Linked DNA regions of Mytilus edulis. The protein of the gene in region 1 interacts with the protein of each later gene in a pairwise test. Links are inferred from orthologs where the notes say so. Each region holds a gene or a part of one and is shown in the gene's direction. Other genes may lie near its edges. The genes, in order: kelch-like protein 8 and proteasome subunit alpha type-1-like.

Region 1 (11,477 bases):
ATGGGAGCTTTTGTAAGGCAAAGGCGCATAAAACCTAAAAAGTTAATAGAGCTAGAATATACGCCGAAACTTTAGTCCATCATTAAACTCATTTGATTGAATTGCCTTGTGAAATATTTGTGACTGGCAATAAATATACATCAAAGCAAAAACCAAAATGACTTCGTTTCTTTTTATAAATGCCGTAAAATTCAGAAATATATCTTTAGAAGTACATGCGATGTAAAAAAATAAATGAATTGAGATTCTATTTTTTTGCTAGTCTGAATACCCTTTAAAATGTGCATTTGGTGGTTTCATTATTTTCAAATTAAGTTGAAAATGAAATGTCACAGTTTATTTCATTATGAATTTCTTGTTTAGTATCAATTTCGATATTTTTGGAGAATTTTTATAACCTCTTGTGAAATAAATTGACAATAATGAAAAACTCAATCACTTACCTATGACCTTATTTGAAAACAAAATTGCACCATATTTCAATTTTACGACCAGGCAAAAGTTATAGAATAAACATTTCTCTTTTTCAAAAAGTCATAATTTAGCCTGCAGGTAGGGTGGTCCATTAAAGTTAAAAAATTGTTGGCTTGGTCGCTCCACTATAAAGTCTTTTAGTGATACACTGCCTGTCGGAGGTTAAGTTATACTTAAAATAACCTTTGGAGTTTATTAAACACAGAAATTTTATGAACAGTACTAGTACTGGTTGACAGAATTTTGTTCAATATAAAAATAAAACAATTTCCCAATTTTAAAGGTAAAATATAGATAAAACATGTAATTTTATTTAAACTGTAAAAAATCAGTGAATTAGTATTTAGGTCACAAAATACCAGATTCATTACTAAATAAAAACGGTATATTATAAATAATGTCAACAAGACTAATATGTTAACGAATGTAAATGTTAATGTTTAGGGAATGAAAGAACGTGTTATTCACGGAATTGGCAATTAACAACAGAAGACGAAAAGTTGTAACATTTCCCATAAACATATTAGATGGCCATAGGTGGCACACTTAGTGGTCTTCTAAGAGTATTCAGCACTGCTTGCCAAAACAAAGCTTCCCCTATGCCTTTCTTGTAGCGTAGATACGGTGTTGTATGTAACAAGGACCTTATACCACTGGTCATGTGATACGCATCAATAGCCTTCAGCATAATTAGAACACATGCATCTTTTCCTTGTCGACGTCTTCTTTCTTGAACATAATCACATTCCCATTGGCACCAATCGCTTCTAGCAAAATCATTACTCATTATGATCACAACTTTCCACGATTTGTTCATATACTTGTCTATATTTTCTGTAATTGGGACTCCCGGTTCAAACTCACGGTGATGAACACATAACTTAATTTGTTCATGTTCCAATCGTTTGATGAACTCACTATGAACCCATTCCCTATCAGCATCACAGTACACCACAAACGCATGAAATTCAAAATCATCACTATTGTTTAGACGTAAATATCCCTGTTTTCGAAGACGATGCAATCTCATAATATAGCAGTAGTTCCTTATATAGGTATGACCCTTGTAAGCTAATAAAATTACAATTATCACCAAAAATGCAAATGAAGACAAAATAATTGCGATTACTATAAACGGATCAGATTGTTTGCAACTCTCTGGGGTTGGATTGTATTTAATAACTAATCGACCTCGCATTTCAGCAGGAAAATTACACGTGTACGCTTGTGGAAAATCTGAGGACAAGTCTACTTTTGTTGTTCGAATCCAGTTTCGGAACCACATGAGGTCACATGTACAAGTAAATGGATTCTTTGCCAGGTATAATTTTTCAAGTTGGTGCAAAATATTTTCAGGTAAAGATGATTTGTTCAGTGCATGTATCAAATTATTTTTTAAGTTAATATACTTTATGCTATGCATATTAGCAAAAGTCTCTGGCGCCCAAGAATTTATAAAATTTCCTTGAAGAATTATTTTCTCTAAGGATGTCAAATTTCTAAAAAAGTTAGGATGAAGTTTTCTCAAACCGACCGTTTGTAGAACCAAATTTTTCATCTCTTCCGAATGGGCAAACATCAGACCTAGTGTAGTTTTGTCAGACGGAAGATAGTTATTCGTTAAATCTAAACATTGTAATGACGGCGTATGTTTAAATATTTGTTCTGCATTGAACCTAGAATTATTGTTTTTTGTCTTGTCAAATCGGAAATTGTTGTATCCAAAATGTAAACTGATTAATGACGTGCTGTTGAAAGCGGTAGGTTCTATTGTTTTTAGCTGATAATTAAATTGAAAGAAAACTTTTTTTAATTGTGGTAGTTCTGAAAAAGTATTATTCCTTAAAACCGTTAATCGATTAGCATCAAGACTTATGGACTGCAATGATGGCATACAGCTGAAACATTTTGGATATAAATAAGGTATAGCATTGCCGTTCAAAATCAGACGTCGAAGCTTCGGAACTTTGCTTTTGTTCATTTTATCACAAAAACTTGGAATGTGTACAATATCATTCCTAGTAAGATCAATGTTTTCAACCGATAATTTCACATTATCATACAGGATTAAACCAATGATATTATTTTTTGACAGGTTAATTGTTTTTAAGTTTTTCAATTCAGTATACCAGTCGGGGAACGTGAATAACGACAGATGATTTTCTTCAAGTGATATGGATGTCACTTTCCGTAGGCTGATTGTCTTAAAAATGTTAAAGGGAATATCTTTCCAGTAGTTGCTATACAAATGAATTTGCTTGAGATGTGTTGTATTTACGAAAACCAATGCATCACTCAGACTAGTTACATTCAACTGTTTTTCATCTGAAATTGCCAGTGACTTTAGATAAATGAAATCCACAAATACGTCATTTTTAACATATTTTATAGAATTTCCGATCAATTTGAATTCTTGGATATTATTGTTGGTAACATTCGATACAAACCATCTAGAAAAATTGACATCACTGAAATTGTTATGGGTCAATTCAATTTTTTCAGCAAATCTTGGGACGTGTGGTATATAGTCAAGTCCTGTGCAGGTCGCACTTTGCTGTTTCTTGTTACACGTACAATGCGGCACGAAACATACGTTTTCTGTTGTGTTGATACGTGTATTCACTGTCTGCATAACCGATCCAAACAAACACATCAAATGAATTTGCCTCATGCTCACATGTTCTCAAAACTAAAACGGAAAAATCTGAAAGCAGACATGGTCATATATATATATATCTGTAGAAATTGAAATCTAAAAATATGTTACGATGTTTCAATAATGTCAAAAATAGCTAACTTTTACATCGAACTCGGAAAATCACTCTAAAACAATCGTGTAATTTATTAGATACATTGTGTACCAATTGCAATGCGCACAACAATAATTATTACGCATGTACATGGGCTTCTAAATAATTGGACAAAACTCGTTTAAAGTAAATACTAAATGGGAGTGCCATGAATAAATGGCCTATACATAAATGGTTGGTATTTGCGATTCAATAAAATTTTGTATGCACTAAGGACTAGTTGAATTGTATTTGAAAATTTAAGATGAAGCATTTTTGCACACTTACTTCCAGAGAAATAAAATCAATGTATATTCAAAATAATGCATATCTGATTAGAAAGCACGAAAACCTAGGAGAAATATGTTTTAATTGCACTTTGAATAAGCATTATTCGAAAAATGGTCTTTAAAAGCTTAAATCAAGTACCTGGTCACGAACAAAATAATCATTTTACATATTAAACAAATCTGCCATAATGATCAACTGATTTTGAAGACTGATCAAATGTTCGTAACGAGTACCAAAAGCCTGAATTATTACACCATTTCCCGAAAGAATGCCAAATTATTAGGGTAATTTGTTGATGAAGTTGACTTACTTTCTCATCCAAAATCGATTTATGCTAAATAGATAACCATCACAAATAATTTGATTGTTGGTTGCTAATTATAAACGTCCAATTGCGCGTTAAAATACCTGGTCAATGAATATTCATCATATCAAATACCGATCATAGTATGCTGTCTGATCTAAAATATCGTAGATATCACAGAGAACGGTTGAAAATATTTTAATAGTATCATAAAACGAATTTTATTACAAAAAATTATTTTAAAGGAAGCATTATATTTCTTTTCTATTACCAAGCTAACAATTGAAAATACGTACTGTTGGTTCTTGAACAACTTTCCTCTGTTTATCTTTCATATACTGATGTGAATATCGTTCTGAAGAATTCACAAACTTAATACACATTTGTAAATAAGGTAACAGGAAATACATTAATAAAACATGTAAAAAAACGCTCAAACTTTAGAGAAATACTTCCTCGTATTAAGTGAAAAAAAATTGTTCAAAAATAAAACACTTATTGTGTCTTTGTGGAAGATAGAAAAATGATCGATGTTTCCCATTTCCTTGTCATTAGCTCAACAGATCTCCTGTAACATGGTAAAATGAAAGTTTCAATATGCAAAGTTCAAAAAATATTACAATTATTCGTAACACACGGGTATTTTCACCACCAAGAATATACGGTATAATTTAGATTATTGCCAACTTTTTTTATTATTTGCTTTTCTATATTATATTCATCTACATCATTAATTTGGCCATTAAATTGTTACAGTTTTGATTCTAGAGACAATATTGAAATCTATTTTTCTCTTAGATAAAATTAAGACAAGCCTTCAGTAAATTTAAAATATAAAATTTGGGTCAGTGTAACAAAATTCGAGTTCTATAATTTATTAGATTGGATAATCATTTAGCTTCGTCCAAACATGTCTAGATAATACACGAAATTGCAACTTTTTATTTAGATTTTTATTCGGTGGTCGCTGCGACCGGCTTGACATTGTTGATGTAATCACAATAAACGCAAAAAAAAAGAAAGATATAGATGAACATGAACATTCTTAACATGCTTCCTTCAACTGTTTAGTTGTTTTCTTTCCTTTTTTTAATTAGATTTATTTGAGACTATGAAAATTTTCCATTCTGTAAAACTGATTTTTCAATAACAAATCTGTCTCCATTAGCTAGATAATAGGCTTGGACATGAAGACGAAAGTCCTGCAATGGGTTTCTTCAAACTTGATATCAATAAATATATATAAGAAATATCAGTTTTAATTCGACGTGTGTAAGCCCCCGCCGTATTCTACGGGGCTATAAGTGTTATCCTTGGCCGGCCGGTCGCCGCTCCATCTGTCTGTTCCTTGCACGAATTCGGTCCGTCCCATTTTCGTTTCCGCACTCTAACTTACTTATTAATCAATATGTTATGAAACTCGTACACAATCCTTAGAACCAAATACTTCAAAGAGATTTCGAATTTGGGCATCAAATAATATAGTATTATAGAGTTTAGATTTGGGCTATATGTCATTTGCTGTTCAAGTGTTATGCCCTTTTAACTTGGTAATTGCAATTTTTGGGGATTTCTCACTCTAACATAAGTTTGTCTCGTCGAAATTTTAAGAAACTTATATTCTTGTACTCGATGCTAAAATCCGCAACACGCAGACAGAGTATGAATTGTGGCAGTAAGTCCTGGGACTATTATAATAACTGTTAGTATAACAGTCCCAGATACTCAGTAGTTGGTATTATAGTCCCAAGTAAGTCATATATATATATATATAATTTACCGTTCTAGAGTTTTTGCTCCTTTCAAACTTGGGGAATTACAAAGCTTAAGCGGGTCATTCGTGTCCTCGGGCACATTCTGTGGTGTTTTTTTCATAAAAAGCATTTAATTCTAAGGAAACATCGAACCTCGGCCATTATTTAAGAGGGGCGAAAGAAACCAGAGGAACAGTCAAACTCATTTATCGAAAATGAACTGACATGGCCATCGATATATATAAATGAAAAAGACAAACAGACAAATAATATATAGTACGCAAGAAACAACAAGAAAACTAAAGACTCAAGCAAAAGATTTTCCAGCTAAAAAAATTAACCGACGATTTGATATTGCTAAGTATAAAAAAAACATCTCCAATTTTTTTTATGTTATGGGCAAACTTACTCGTTACCCTATGGTTATGGGTATTTTCAGTAATTCATTAAATCAGCCTGGGTTTAAATCGAAATATCTAAGGTTTCATAATAGGAAAATGTTTGAATTTTAGCTCGTAGTTAGAGCTGATGTTTGTAATTATATTGCTCATATACCGACTCTAAATAAATCTTTATGTCTTATGTCGCCTAATGTCTATACAATATAATTAAAATATAATTAAATAAAATATATACTTTATCATGTTTATACTATAGATATCTATATTTTAATTAGATTGATGTCTATAGATTTTATGTTAAAAGTTTAGAATAACGGTTACCACAAGTTAAAGGTCAGTGAAACTGCAATGCCATTATAAAACCAAGTGTGAAGAAAGAATGTGTGACAGATGTTTCTTTGTTGATCAGTGTTTGGGATGAAATCCATTTTTTTGGCAATTTTTTTTTTAATCAGCAAAAAAAGTTATGTTGTCTATATTAATTCAGAATGTCAATCTAATTTTAATTTATCCATAATTGGGGCAATATGTCAAACCTAATGCAATGGGATATTACCCTTTTCAATAGTGGGGCGAGTTGGTAATTTAGCTTGGAGCGATATTTTTCAAATGGGGCGAGTTGTCATTAATTCGTCACGAAATAAGGGGACGTTACTGCATTGGAAAATAATACACCTGCACATCGAACTATTTATATATATTTTTGTCAAAGGGAAATGAAGTTTTCTTTCCTTTTAAATGTCATCTTCTTGATGAAAGATTGCTGAAGCATCATAAAAAAATCTGGATAGTGTCACAGCGTGCACAGTTTCTTAAGCAATAAGTTTCATAAAGGCTAGTAGCAGTAAATTCAGTCTTAGACAGTGTGTATATTTCTGTATATCATGGACTAGTCCAAATAATTATGACGTTTGACAATTAGTTGTACTTATTATGGACCTATTGAGCCAAAGAAGATATTTTGGTCTACAACAATTTTCCCTTTTAGTGGCTGCCTACCATCTAGTCCTAATAAAAAAAAATTACAGTGATTTGGCATCTTTTAGGGTACCATCTTTTAGTATATATGTAACCGTAGAGCATGAATTTCATTACAAAATTGCTTGTCTCCACCAGAAATCGAACCCAGAACCTCTGTGTAACAAGGCAGGGCGTTAACAGACTTAGCTAAAGAAGTACTTCCGTAGCTCAATCACTTACGGCTTACTAGGTATCTACTAAATTTTCTAGGGGAAGCAATCCCGTCACATATATATAACAAATCATGCAAATGTATAATGCGTAAACTAGGTATATAAGAAGTTATAACATGACAAACAATGTGAATACAGTACTATATATTTCATGTATTTAAAAACATGAAATCCTGAGGTCCCGAATTTAAATAAATTGAAATCCAGACATCCCGAAATTGAAATAAAGAATTTCCAGATCTTGAAAGGGTCAATCCCAAAATTACAAGCTTAATAACACCCTATCCTGGAGTATCGATAAAGGTCCTATCCCCCCTCACAAGTTATAATCATGTTAATCATGATAATAACCATCTACCATTGTCTACAGGTATATTAAAATAAACTTACAAAATGTAATAGATAAAATTTATTTTGTAAACAAAAACATGGATGATGACTTGTGTCTTCACAAAGTATGGCATTATGTCTTTGAAGTATGGTTGATATGTCCTATGGACATCTTTTCTTGCATAGCTAACAGCTTCATAATTGCAAGTGACCAAATGACACAGAAATTATTAAATATATGTCACTGTATGGCCTTCAACATTGAGCAATGCCCATACTGCATACCAGTAGTCAGCTATAAAAGGCCCCAATATGCATGTTATCTATGTTCATAATATATCTTTAAATATGGGTATTTTCAACTTTAACACCCTGTAGTACACATATATTTAAGTGTACCCTAAGACAAAAGCTGAATGGTGAATCGGGTTCTGAAGGGTGTGAAATAATCATATAGATCTACAGGTTTGAATTTAGACAAACAAATTTAATATCCAAGATCTAAGATTGAACCTGACAATTTTTATATGTAAATTTGAGCATACAGTGAAAAGTGAATTTTGAAAGCAAACATTTTTATATTATTTGAAAAAGATTAAAATTAAGAAATTTGATATATTTTTCACAGGGTGAAGGGGCCTTAGAATTGTCATTTTTGGGATACAATTGCTTTCAAGCAATCTGTAGACTTATACCAATGGCTCAGAGCATTGCCCTCACATCAATCGTTTTATTCTAAACATTAAGGAACATCTCAGATTCTTATGATTGTCTTGCTTTAAACAAGGATTTGTAATAGGCGGGATAGGGTGAGGTCACTTCGGTCAATATGCAAATTAATTCTATGGAGCCGTGTATTCTTACTGCGATCGTAAAAGTTATTCATAACACCAGAACCATTTTCAACTTCTTATTTCAAGCATAATATTTGATAAATATAGATTGTAGATACTTACATATCGATGTCTATTTGTTTAGGTGATGCAAATGTCAGCCATTAATCAGAGCTAGTTTAGCATTTTCCAGATGCATCACGGGTAATCTCACAAAATCTCGCGCCGCAGAAGATATTATACTACAGTCTATGAAAAAGCCCACGAGATTCCAATCCTTCTTACTATACAAATCCTTGCTTTAAAAGGTAAAAACAAACAAAGGGATTGAACTTAAACAACTTTCCTATAATGTTCTTTTCATAATCTTCATGTTTGATAATTCCCTTGACTTATATATGCGTGTTTTTAACAACACAGAAAATCAGAATTAAGCAGTATTTATATTTAGTGTATTTATAAATTTAGAAACACGTCAGACAGTCAGGGGTACTACTTTTATTTTATTTACTTGAAGAAGTAAAAAAAAATATACACATATAAGTAAATAAATAATGTTTGAATAATCTCCCCTTAATTTTCTAAAAAATTTACTTGTTTAAGTAAATTTTTCTTACAATCCCATAAAAATCCTCAAGTTTTGAGATGTAAAATCATGCCTTTAATGATTTTTCCCAGGTTTGCTCAAATTTTTCACTGTTTCATCTCATTAATTCATCAAAGAAACTGATTGAGCAAAGATCTTGTATATTTGCCAAGGCAATTTTGCAAGGCAATTCAAAATTGCTCCTTTGGGGCTTCACAGTAAATGAGCAGTGTTATGAAGATATAACAGACACATGGGATTTTCATTGTCCATGAAATTACACTTAAACGATTAGTAAAGACATCTGTAAAGGTTACACAATTTAAAGTTCTATTAGAGCAAAGAAATCTTAAGAATTCAAGAAAAGAAGAAAGGATGATTTTTTTACTTATACAAGTAAAAAATTCTGAATGCCTAAGGGACATAACTAAGCCATTTTTTTTACCTATACGAGTAAATAAAATTCACTTGTATAAGTATCCTATAAATTTACTTATATGTGTATATTTTTTTTTACTTCTTCAAGTAAATAAAATACACTTGTACAAGTAGTATCCCTGACTGTCAGAGGGGAATTCCCAGTTTTGATAAAATGCAAGAGTTCTCTGAATTCCAATAAATCTATTTCTGTCATATACATGTATAAGAACTGAAGTGGAGTTTTTCTTATAATTTGTTACTGTTATGAAACTGGTATTTGAGATTGTAATTCCATAAAAAAAATAGAGAAACCATCTAGGTCGTTTAATAAACATTAATATACGTTCTTGCTCCAGGGTTTGTTTTGGAAATTATGCGCATGCGTATAGTTTTCTTGACTTCAAGGGGTTTTAGATTGAAAAGTTGCTCTGGATTCCCCACTCAATTAATTAATTTATAACTCATGGGATCTTTTCTATGTATGTCTGTTATTGAGGGTTATTGTTGTTGCATAATTTTAAATCATATGCATCATTTTAATTAAAATAAATGTAGTCCTTATCGTAGAACACCCCTTCAGGCGAAATGGAGTCTTCCATATTATCGTTTCGAGTTGTCTCCCTTCCGGAAGTAACTTCCATGAATTCTGAAACAACACCTTGAGTATTAGCTCGTTCTGTCAATAAACGTCGTATTATATTAAAAACGATAGCAATTTAAACCGATAAATGTGTACGGAAAGGAGTCATGATCACTGACTCAAAGGAAATTAAATATTTAAAGAGTTAGGAATGGGGTTCCTCCTAGAATTAACGTAGGACAATAGGTGATAAGATACGAAGTGAAATAACTTCTCTCACTCTGAGTCTCAGTGACTGCTGTGGAAAGAAACTTGGAATTGAAAGTACAAAAATAAAATATTATAGGCCTTATTACATTGTTCATACACTTTTATCCGGGATTGGCTATTTTGTAACTATTTTACATGTGCAGCTGAATTAGATTTGAAAATTAATTATCCAGCTACATGTATACATGTGTCAATGAAACAACGGCAATCGTATCCCTCAGAGCAATCTGCTCTTTGATTTGGTAGAACTATAGGTAGTCAAAGATAAGACATTTTAATCCAAGACAGAGAATCTGAAATTATTCAAATTTGTAGCTACATGTAAATGTTGCGAGCATTATTATTAAATAAAGTTTAGTTTAAAAACTGAAATACATGGTAGTCAAATATAAGAAGTTTGTAATCATTGCAAGATACCGATGGATACAGAGAAATTAGAATCAAATGATAAAAGTGGGGCTCAATTTTGCAAGTCTGATGTCATAGACATTAAATGATGTGGGTAATTAGTAAACTGATCTACAAAATGTAGTAATTTCATTCATTGAAGAAAGGCACTTACTTAATATAAAAAAGAAGATGTGGTATGACTGCCAATGATACAACTGTCCACAAGAGACCAAAATGACACAGACATTAACAACTATAGGTCACCGTACGTCCTTCAACAATGAGCAAAGCCCATACCGCATAGTCAATGATAGTCAGCTATGAACATGATGAAAGGCCCTGATAAGACAAAGTAAAACAATTCAAACAAGAAAACTAACAGCCTTATTTCATTGTATTTATATATTTAAAAAAATGAACGAAAAACAAACATGAAACACATAAACAACAGCTGACAACCACTGAATTACAGGCTCCTGAAACATTGTTAAATGAGTGATTTTCTATACCACTGATTCAAGTAAAATTACATGTATGTCCATAAAGGTTGGAAGTAAAGAGTTGTCTTCCTTTAATAATCACAAATTCAAGTAGTACAAATTAGTCACTCGACTAAATGATTTAATTTTATTATAGCTTAAAATATAGAATACTGATCATCCAGGGACTAATTATTTTGGTAAAGTTACCAGAACCAACATCTGTGTTGATTCATGTCGGGTAATGTCACAAATGACATAAAAATCACTTGTATTTAAAAGTATCATACCTCAATTTCCTTGAAAAAAATCACTTCTTCAAACAACATTATTATAATAACCCCACTACTTTAAACAACCCTGAATAGTGAAATTTTGATTGT
Region 2 (11,483 bases), on another chromosome or scaffold:
CTGTTTCCGGAAACTCTTATTTGTAGTGCGGTCATCTGAGAAAATACATTAGTAAATGTCGCATTTTGGTCATTTCTAAAACTCTCCAGTTGGTTGTTGCTCTGTGCAATTTTGCCATCAAGATCAGACAACTTCTGTTTCAATTGTCCCGCCAAAACTTGTAACGTCTGCTCGTTTTCACGTCTCAGCTGATCGATTTGTTGTTGAAGAAATTTCTTTTCCGTTATAAAAGTTTCCAGGGAAATATATTGCTTATTTCCGTTTGGATCCAATGTATGGTCCGGTTCCAGTAGTAATCCATATACACTTAGTCTGAAAGTGAGACTCAGACAAAACACGACTGTATGAAATTCTGAAAACATTATTATGTATGTTGTCTTTGAAAATATTCATAATATGGGAATTGTGTGTTATCTTTTAAAATTTGAAATAGAAATCGGTCCGAACGTATGTTCCATTTTAACGATTTCCAATATATTTATCACTAGCATGACTAGTGTACAAACAAAATATTATTAAAAGGATTACAAAAAGATATATGGGATCTGATTATATATATCTAAATTTAACAGAAATCCTCCCAAGTTGTAATCGTCGATAACTTATTGATTTTGGATGAATCGAAGGATTTTAAGTATCAAGACTTGCATTATAGTTAAGACCAGTGTGGTATAATTAAATGTTGAAGTCGAATTTACAAAGTTTTCGCTATCAGCAGTACATGTATTATCGAACTTATAAAACTTTGAGTTTTGAGAATTTGAATATATGTACTTGAATAAATCATACTTCTGTTATTTTTGGGACCGATTTTTTTTTAAGTGGAGGATGCTTATTTTTTGGAATCCCGTTTTTGTGTGATTTTATTTTTGTCACCTCCCGCTTTTTTGGCCGCTATATCTCCATTCTCACTTTAATTATCTCCTATATACCCCATCCCCACTTTGTTCAAACACTATTTTCAACATCCCAAAAGATTGCCATCGCCCGCTTTATACGTTCGTTTCAAAATATTTGAACGAGTTAAATTAAATAGCAGTAGAATGTCTTTAGCACAATCGGAGTGCATTCTCAGATTGTAAAAAACTATGATGTAAATCCAACATATCGTATTCTGAATATTGGTTTTCGATTATAAATTAACATCAAGAATTTGCAAGAAACAATTGTTGTACGACTTGAAGCTAAATAAAATGTCATTTTCACAAAACATTGTATAATTTTTTCTGAAGTCATTTTTTTCTCCCCAAATGATTGCAAATTTGCTCCTTCAGTATTTCCATTGATCATCCTTGTTGGCACCAAGCCACCTCAAAATTACTGTCTTATTATTTCTTACTAGATAAAATTGGTTACCTCTGTCAAGACTTTGAAAATGTTTTGTTTCTCTGTTCTGTATTTCACCGGTGAAAAACTTTTCCGCAATTAACATTACGATCTGGGACTATTATACTAGTCCCAGTTACGATACAGTGTAGTTTTGTTAAACGGCCTTCTTGAATTTCATGAAATTTTTCCAGATCCTTTTTTAATGATTACGAGATAATTTTAAATATATTCATTTTTTATCATTTTACCGAGTTAATGTCCAGTAAGCATTTCGATCGATCGATCGATCCCAGTGGGGGGGGGGGGGGGGGGGGGTCTCATAATACATTGGGGGTTTAGATCCCGGATCCCGCTTACTGTTTTGTCAGATTCCTATATCCCGCTTACAGGAACCCCTTTTTTTATTGGACGATCAATGCATTTGAATGGGGACATGTAGTTGGAACCCCCCTTTGTCCTGGGTTAGGAGCCCCCTTTTTAAAATGGCTGGATCCGCCACTTGATCCTGTCTTTTGATTATTTTTTTTTAGACATAGGCTATATGTATGAATTTGTATACTGGTCAATGTTATTAGATTTATTTTCTTACGTTCAACACAACTGAACCACTTATTTTGACAGCTGCAATATCAATGGACTTATTATAAAAAATATTAATATTACGGTAGATTTTTTAATGAACAAATGTAAGCCAGGAAACACACATGACGATCAGTGACTCTTAATCAGGCCTTTTTATTCGAATCTAAGACTATTTAGTGGTCTAACTTCAAATGATGTAGCAAAAAATAAGATACGTTTTATGTTTTTGGCATTCCAAATTTAAATTTAAGGCATTTCAGTCTAACCTAGGACTAGTACACCGAATACATTAATCTCAGGTTCTTTCTTGTCATCTTATTTTATTACGTGATTTCTTAGCCATTTTCCTTTGATTATCTTGTTTAATACTCGGTGAAAATATTGGCTAAATTTTTTTGTGATTCTGTGATTACCGTTTGACACCCCAATTTCATTAATAATCTGTTATTATATACGTTTATAATTCTTACTGTTTATCTTTTAATAAATTGTGAGTTTTCGAAATAATGATATATTTTTATCAATATCCGTCAATGAGCCAAGGATTTGTATATTAATTTGTATACAAATCCTTTCAGGAATGTTACAGACCGGTCAGTCTAACTTCAATTGTTTGTAAAACTTTGGAAAAGGTTATACGGAAGGAAATGATTGATCATTTAATAACCAATAATTTGTTATCAGACTCACAGTTTGGTTTTCGCTCTGGAAGATCATGTATATTACAATTACTTGATGTCATGGAAGACTGGTCATTATATATGGATAATAATATATCCTGGGACACATTACATCTCGATTTTGCCAAAGCTTTCGATAAAGTGCCACATAAAAGATTACTAAAGAAACTGTATTCATACGGTATTCGTGGATCTATATTAGAATGGATAACTGAATTTTTAACTGGACGTCGACAACAAGTTGCGATGAAAGGGGAAAAATCTGAATGGCAAAATGTAATTAGTGGAGTGCCCCAAGGCAGTGTACTTGGACCTGTTCTTTTCATTATATTCATAAATGATTTACCAGATGTTGTGGAGTCTATAGTAAAAAATTTCGCAGACGATACTAAAATGTATGCACCTACTTCTAAATCTGATGTCTTACAGAATGATCTAGATGCCCTCTACGATTGGTCCAAGTTATGGGACATGAAATTTAATGTGAACAAATGTAAACAAATCCATTATAGAAGAAATAATCCTGAAAATGTTTATACCATGAACAATATTGATATCATTAAAGATGAACAAGAAAAGGATCTTGGAATTATTTTTCAAAATGATCTTAAATTTTCTCAACATATATCAAGTAAAATAAATAAAGCCAATAGTATACTTGGGCTAATTAACCGAACTTTTATCTTTAAAGATCAATATACATTTTTAAGACTATACGTTGCGTTGGTACGACCACACGTGGAATATGGAAATACAATATGGTATCCGCATTTAAAGAAAGATATTAATGCTGTAGAAAAAGTGCAGATGAGAGCAACTAAATTAATTCCTGATATACGACATTTAAGCGGGGTCAGACCTATAATCCGACAGTCCCATAATCCGACAGTCCGATAGTCCGACAGTCCTTTAATCCGACAGCCCGATAGTTCGACAGTCTTATCATCCGACAGCCCGATAGTCCGACGCACGGTCACTTGTCTCTGAAAAGTATGCCTATATAGACATGGAACGTTTGTAAATTGGTATATTTTTTCATACAGAAAATTAACAAATCAGTCAGTATGACGTCTTGTACAGGACCGCAATAATCCCATACGAATCGGAAATGAACGGAATCCGAGTCCGTTCACCTTAAAACATGATCACTCTCATTCAAATTCGCCCCCTTTCACTTTCACACCCTACACGTGCTTACAAAAAGTCCGTTTGCACCCTATACGTTTGCTTTTGTTTATTATGAAAACAATGATAAACATTATTATAGCAATACTATTACTGCCCAATTAATATACTAACCAAAACTCGATTTTTTTTTCATTATTTCATAATAAATTGACATTCTAAAAACATTTTTTTGTGTCGATGGTTTGGTTAGAGACTAGCAATGACTATTTATTTTTTTCATTGTTTCAAAATAAAGAGGCATTCTGGCAACGGTTTTTTGTTGAATAAATCTAAATCATGTTTTGTTAGTGTATTTGTATTGCTATAAAAAAAAATCATTGTTTCTAAATAAAGTGCCTTTCTTATTTCGTGCTGTCATTTTTAAAACTTCAGCACTGCAGTCATAGGTCTTAACCGCTATCTGCTTTGTCTGCGTACTGTCTTCATGTCATTGCCCATCTTCATTCCAATCTTTTTCACATAATTGGTGTCATGTGATGATTCTATGACTAGGGATGCTCAGGTCCTTATAATAATTTAAATTACATATAAGTGTTATCCTTTATCAGCAAAGAGTTCAGGTTTTGGCAATCAGTGAACCAAAAAAAAAATACTAGATAGTACAGCGGTTTATATTGCCATACAAGCTAGAGCAATGATAAGGTATTATAAACAGACGCAATTTAAGTTAAGATTTCATTCCAAATCATTAACTATGAAACCGTTCTGAAAGTGGTTTTGCATCTTGACTGAAATTTGAGATAATGACACTATTCCTATTTTATCAAAACTAATTGCTCTTTTTAGAAAACAAAAGAAAAGATAAAAAAAAATATTGATACTTCTATGTTGCTCTATCCGAAGAAGTCGTTTCATATCTTCGGGCCGAAACCCCGCAGATATAAAAGCATACATCTAATACTTGTGACATATCACATTCAACCAGATTATACGTTACATCTTGGAACAGTATATTTAACAATATATGTGCTCCTGGTTACATGCATGCACTTGCGCATTTACAAAATGTATGTAAACAGACATTCTCGTTATCAACATCGACATGATGATATAAAGAATCTTATATTAATTGTTCAAACAAGAAAGAGGGGGGGGGGGGCAATACCTTTTTGTGTTAACCTGTTATGGCCCTTTTCAAGGTGTTGTTAACTGTTATCTGAGATCAATTTAAGCTGTTAACTGTTTTCAACCCACTTTGTTAACTGTTATCAGCATTTCTGCATTTTTTGTAAACTGTTTTTGCCAAAATCGAGGTGTTGTTAGCATGTTAACGGACCCCCTATTGCTCTCCCTCAAAAAGGGATTTAATTTATATCCCATTTCGATGCATTCTACTTTTTACATTTTAAACACTGCTCGCGTTTCAGCAGTATGCTAATACGCTTTTAAAAAGACAATCATCCTTTGCAGCAGCACAGCTTGGTGTCGGACCATCGGATTGTCGGATTAACGGACTGTCGGACTATCGGACTGTCGGACTATCGGACTATCGTACTGTCGGACTACTGGACTGTCGGAATTTCGGGGTGTCGGATTATAGCTACGCTCCCCATTTAAGCTATGAAGACAGATTAAAAGTACTTAAACTACCTTCCCTAACTCACAGAAGGCGAAGAGGTGATATGATACAAGCTTTCAAAATATTAAAAGGATTCGAAGATATATCTTATGAAAGATTTTTTACTGTCATCAGTACAAATACCCGTGGGCATATTTGGAAATTAGCAAAACCTAGATGTAACACTTCTTTTCGATTAAGACATTTCTCACAACGAATTATTAAGGATTGGAATAACCTACCAGTTGAAGTTATTTCATCAAAAACTATGGAAGCCTTTAAAATTAGTATAGACCGTCATTGGGAGTCAGTCATGTATCAGTTAAGAAATTGATGAGGACACAAATAGTTTTCTATATATAACTTTTTAATTGTGTGAAATATTGCACCAAATCATGCAGAATTGATGATTGTATCAGTTTTGAAAGTGTACCAAAATAGGGTGGGCTAAAAAGGATAGGATCCTTCCATATGAGCCCCACAACGATCTTACAGGTATCTTACAGGTATGAACGAAAAAAAAATATCTCTAGAAATTATGGCGGGAATTTGAATTACCTCCCATGGAAATATGCTCTCCTAAGTTGAAGGAAGTTTATTTGACTAGAAAATTTCACACTGTCATACCGGTTGAAATCTTAAAAAATGGTAATTTTCGAAACTTTCTACGTTCAATCCTATTAATATTAAGTTATCACGTAAGGGAATACAAGCCCTGCACACGAATTAGTGCATCTGTTCAGATTAAGAAGCACGTAAAGCTATAACAATGGTACAATGATGTATGGTTTGATCTTTTTATTTGTCATGTGCATATTTTTTTTTATTTTCGTCGAATTATACTCAGTCATAGTAGAATAAGTTGTATTTTTCTTTTTTTTAAAAGTGAAAACAACCTTGTTATTCACGTTGTTTTTTTTTTTGATTTTTCTGTATCATAAATTCAGTTATTCATGATTTCAACTGCCTTTCTCTCACAGACTTGTTTTCTATCCATGGTGAGAATAATCTTCAATAATTGAAAGTTTGCCAGAAAATGAAGAAGAAGATCTTCTTTCACTTTTTCTTGATATATAGGGAAAGAAGTTCAGGGGTTTGTGACAAATCCGGGTCCGTTCGCGCCCATTCATGTTCGCACTCTTTCACTTTCGCACCCAATTTTTATTGGTTTTGGCAAGTGTATTCCTACAAGTATATTTGTTGTCATTCAATTTGTCCTAAATTAAAGTGAGACAACATGTTTTTTTTGTGTTGAATTAATCTTTATCTTGACTCTTGTTTTGGTTACGTGTATTGCTAACATTTATTTCATTGTTTCAAAATAAAGTAAGACTACAATGTATGACAACATATTTTTTTGTGTTGAATAAATTTTAATTATGTTTTGGTTAGTGCATTGCTATGATTTTTTGTTTCATTGTTTCAAAACAAAGGGGCCAAGCTGTTAAAATCTTTTGTGTTTTCATTTAAAATCTTCAATGTTTTTACTCATACAGTACATTCCGTGACATGGTCTGAAAAATGTGGCAGGTTTTAAAAAGGCTCAGCATCAGCGACTTAAATGTCGATGATTGATTACCTGTTGTCAATCAAATCATCAGCTGATAATAGGTGCAATAAAATCAGCCAAGCGTGCATGGTCGGCCGCACATGCTACTTAAAATTATGTAATTAGTTATGATAATGTAACAGGTAAAATCGATAATTACATAATAGACATTTAAAAGGCATGAACGGTTTTCAGATTGTTTCAGTTCTAATTATTTAATTTACCAATAAAAGAAATATGGTTTTTTTTTCCAGGTCTGTCTGAGGAAGAAACATTCTACACATTATTGTTCTCTTATTTATCTTCTCAGTTTTTTTTTTACGATTCGAATATAAATTAAAATATCTTTTCCTTTCCGTTCTTTTCTCATTACTTCTACATTTCGTCGCGAGTTATATGTTCTAGTAATTTCGTAGATTAGTTTTCTTTTAAAAAGACATGAGTTTCCTATCTTTATTCGTATTTGAAAACGTCATGTGAGGGAGGGTAAGAAGGGGTCCTGATCCCAAATGCCGGGCTTAAAAAAACAAAATCCCGAAATCCCGGACTTAAAATCACGAAATCCCGAGGTCCCCTAATTCGAAAAAGAATTTCCGGAACCCGAACGTGTTACAGCTTAAAAACACCCGATCCTGGAGTCCCGATAAAGGTCCTATCCCCCCTCTTATATATTCTCAAAACGTGAAATATTACTGTAACAAGAAATACCCGAATGAAACAGCTGCTGAAACGTCTATTATTGAAAACTAGTTTTTCGTTTGTAAGATACGATGGTTATTTTTATTGTAATAAAATGTTTGGATTGGAAGAGAATTTGATCGAACATTTAAATGCATTGCTGGTGAAAGCGGGGTCAAGGTTGACACGATAATATCACGTGTGTACATGTGTTTAAAACTTTAGGGGTTTCCTGTTCAATTTCATGGATAAAATCATCAATCGGAACTACTCGGCCGGCTTTCTGTTTGCACGAAGAAATAACTCTTCAATAATTATTGTACTGTATAGCGAGAGTAGTTACGATTGATAAAATTATAAAAGATATTATTAGCCTAGCATGTAACTATGTCCAGTGTGTATTCTTTGTAAAAAAAAACACAACGTCATATTCAACTGGCTTAAAATTCTATGATAAAAAAATTAAAAAAATCGAGATTTTTTTCTCAATAAAATAGTTTGCAGCAAAAAAAACTATTTACGAGATTTTTTCTAGGTAAAATAGAAGGCAGCAAATTTTCTCAATTATAATATAAAACTTACTGAATAACGTAAATATGTGTTTACAAAAAAATTCGATATTTTCTTTTGTTCTTGAAGAACAAGAATATGTAGGATAAAAAAATCTATACGTTTTAGAAATCAGTCACAAACAGTAGAGGGTCACTACTTGATAAGGCAATGGGTATAATTAGTAAAACTCTTTGAAGCCCCCCTTTGAGTGTACAACAAATTAAAGATATCTTTTTGAATGATTTGTGTAGCCTTGAAAAAGACTGTTATGAAAAAGTTTCTGCTGCATCTCTCGTAGTTCTTGACTTGGTTTTCTTAGTGTGGTAGGAGGTGTTCGATCTTCTTGGTGAAACTGGGGTCATCTAACTTGGTTTTGAAGTAACTTATCGATTTACTATAAGACCTTTCAGGAAATATTTTGCGAGGTACATCGGCTGTTGCACGTCCTTCTAGTGCTATTACTACTGGGACAACTTTATATAAATGGTCAATAAAGCGGTTGCAGTACTCAATAGTAAGATCTCTGGTCCAAAACTCTTGTAGAGCTGTCTGAAGGTCATCTTTAGTTTTAAGGTTTTTTTTAGCAAGTCTGCGTTTCAGCATATTCCATACCATTTCAATTGGGTTGATATCGGGAGATTCGGAGGGCCAGCAGTCCCACCCAGGGCTCACGCTACCAGGCGACTTGGGCGAAGAAGTCGCCTTCCCGACCATCACTTCACTTTACCCGACCCCCAAAAGCGAAAACAAGTCGCCCTGTTCTTGACGATAGTCGCTTTCAGTCGCTTCCGTCATCGGACATTTTCAATTTTTACCAAGTTGATGAAACATCAATTTTTTACTGATAATTAAAGAAATTCAGAAATAAACGATTCATTATCTTTAAAAAAGAGGTTGAAGCATTGTCTTCGCAGTGTATAGAAGGTTATTTGATAAAAATACAACTTTTTATCACTTCGGTGCTTGTTACTCGAAAACGTACATCAACCTAAATTTCGGCGGCAAAATAAGTTTGTTACTTCATTTAAACGTGATAAAAGTTGCCTCGGATCTCCTGTAGTTGGTGATCGCAATACTGGTATACCAGTATTGTCCACAATACTGGTATAAAAATTTTGTACCAGTATTGTATTCCAGTATTGTACCAGTATTGTGCTTTTTTTAAATAAACAATATAGGTAATTAATCTTTTGTTAAAGGTGTCCCATATATGCATAATGAAATTAACATATGACATGACAATTTTATTAGGAATGATTGTGTTTAACTGATGATGCCATAGATGGTACACTGTGATTGTCATCAAATAAAGTTTTAAATCTTCTGATGTTTTTTTCTTAACCTTTCTGTATCAGCATTTTAACAAACTCTGTACTTTCTTCTATGTTTTCTTTCAGCTCTCTCTTTCCAAGATTCATGTAGTATATTTTAGTGAATTTTATATTGACATTAATGCTGTTATAGCTTCTGTATCATCAGCACTGGTATTTCTTCTTCAGATGTGATTTCTGCAACCCCTCCCCCTTCCTATATTGGTATTTAGGTATTCAGTGTCTGTGGACTTTCTCTAACGCTTACTAGATTACAAGCTATTTCAGATAGCATTTGTATAGCTCTCTAACTGTCAGAATGCTGGTCTAGTATTTGTACCAGTAGATATACATGTATCTGCTACTAATTGTATTGTCCATGGTTCTGAATCAACTGCTTCAACCCTTAACATTTATGTAGACAAACTAGTTAATTTGATTATAACAAGGTTCCCCTATAAAGCAACTTTTTATAATTAATGAATTATATTGATATCTTTTGTTGTGAAAGATTAATAAGAAAATAAAGACAAACAAATGCATATGATCTTAGTACTTAAAAAATGTATACATGTATTAAAATATCTGTCAAAATATGATGGCATACAAGTAAATGCTGAATTTACAGTGTTAGAGTCTAATAATTTGCTTGAATTTATTAAATTATTGCTCAGATAATAATAAGCTTTTATTTTATTTTATCTGTATTAAATTAAATAAAATATAGAAATATGATAAAATTATTAGCAATTGTTTAAATAATAATGATGATATGAGTTAATTTCAATAATCCTTTGTTTATTTGTGCAAGTATAGTAATGACTTTTAACTGGTTGTTAATTGATTTCACAATTATCCTCTATAATCTTTTTGAGTTCCATTTAATCTCCCTTTGATCTTCAATATAGTCTAGTCAACAATATAATACAACTACAATACTGGTATGTCAGTAATGTACCAGTATTGCTGTTTTTTTTATAAAAAAGTAACAATACTGGTACAAAATTTTTATACCAGTATTGTGGACAATACTGGTATACCAGTATTGCGATCACCAACTACAGGAGATTCGTTGCCTCCAGTAAATGTTTTATCCATTTATTGCATTAAAACCGTCATGTTCCTTTCCAAATAACTTGTCAAACATCGTTTATTTTTGTAAATTTTCTTGCATTCGTCCGCCATTGACCATTTCTAAACTACGGATCTGAACCGGACCAGCTATGACCGAAATCCGTACTTTTACAATAATTACTACGGACGCATGGATGTTCATGTAATATATATTCATAACCATCTTCCTATTAATTTGATTAATATCTATTGAAAAGATTTTTTTTTAAGGAAATCAGTAAATAAAAAAAAATAATGGTATTGTTTTATTTTATGTCTCTTGTTCGTTCTAAAACGATTTGTCATTTTAAAGGATTTTGGTTTTATTCTGACAGACAAAATAACAGAAAAGCATAATAAAAGTTGTATTTTTTCTTATTATAGCAAAGACAAACACAGGTAAAATTTACCTGTACATCTAAATATTATGTAATCAAGACATGAAACCTTCTACCTGTTAAAAGATTTAAAACACCTGGTTGATCACCTTTAATTTTTTTTTTTTTTTTTTTTTTTTTTAATTATCCCTGCAGGTAGTCTGACCATCAGCCAGTGATTTATGACCCCCAATAAAAGCCCAGCATTTAATGCCAGGCATACAAGATGCTGATGATTTTTCAGACCATGTCACAGTGTGTACTGTACCAATGATACCAAGCTACAAAATGTAAATACACCTTATCACTAATCCCGACTGACCCGGCCGCTTGAACTTTTGACGCATACAACAATCACTTTTCCATTGTGGCGTCAGATATTTTGTTTTATAACTTCAAAATTTTAGGGGAACCTGTGTGATTTTCAGTAATGGTGGACAAATAGCGATAAGGTGTATACATGCAGTATTTATATCAAATCAATTAAAAACAACAATCTTGATTTTCTAATTATTAAACTGAAATTTTATTTAAAATTGGGTGGAAACATGCGAGGTGAGAACGTGT

The links.
Region 2: the proteins of kelch-like protein 8 (region 1) and proteasome subunit alpha type-1-like interact in a two-hybrid assay, tested with the Caenorhabditis elegans proteins (2 studies listed by BioGRID). The link is inferred for Mytilus edulis from reciprocal best matches to the Caenorhabditis elegans genes kel-8 and pas-6.

Annotation. Positions count from the first base shown.
Region 1 is NC_092351.1:25,127,603-25,139,079, forward strand, and holds the start of kelch-like protein 8, read left to right. Parts: upstream 1-6,648; 5' UTR 6,649-6,847; exon of another isoform or gene 6,848-6,857; intron 6,858-11,477. Other genes in the region: toll-like receptor 13, read right to left, coding at 998-3,145. UniProt on the Caenorhabditis elegans protein: Substrate-specific adapter of a BCR (BTB-CUL3-RBX1) E3 ubiquitin ligase complex that regulates degradation of glutamate receptors in neurons. The BCR(kel-8) ubiquitin ligase complex mediates ubiquitination and subsequent degradation of rpy-1.
Region 2 is NC_092353.1:47,646,386-47,657,868, reverse strand, and holds the start of proteasome subunit alpha type-1-like, read left to right. Parts: upstream 1-5,896; 5' UTR 5,897-5,982; coding exon 5,983-5,985; intron 5,986-11,483. UniProt on the Caenorhabditis elegans protein: The proteasome is a multicatalytic proteinase complex which is characterized by its ability to cleave peptides with Arg, Phe, Tyr, Leu, and Glu adjacent to the leaving group at neutral or slightly basic pH.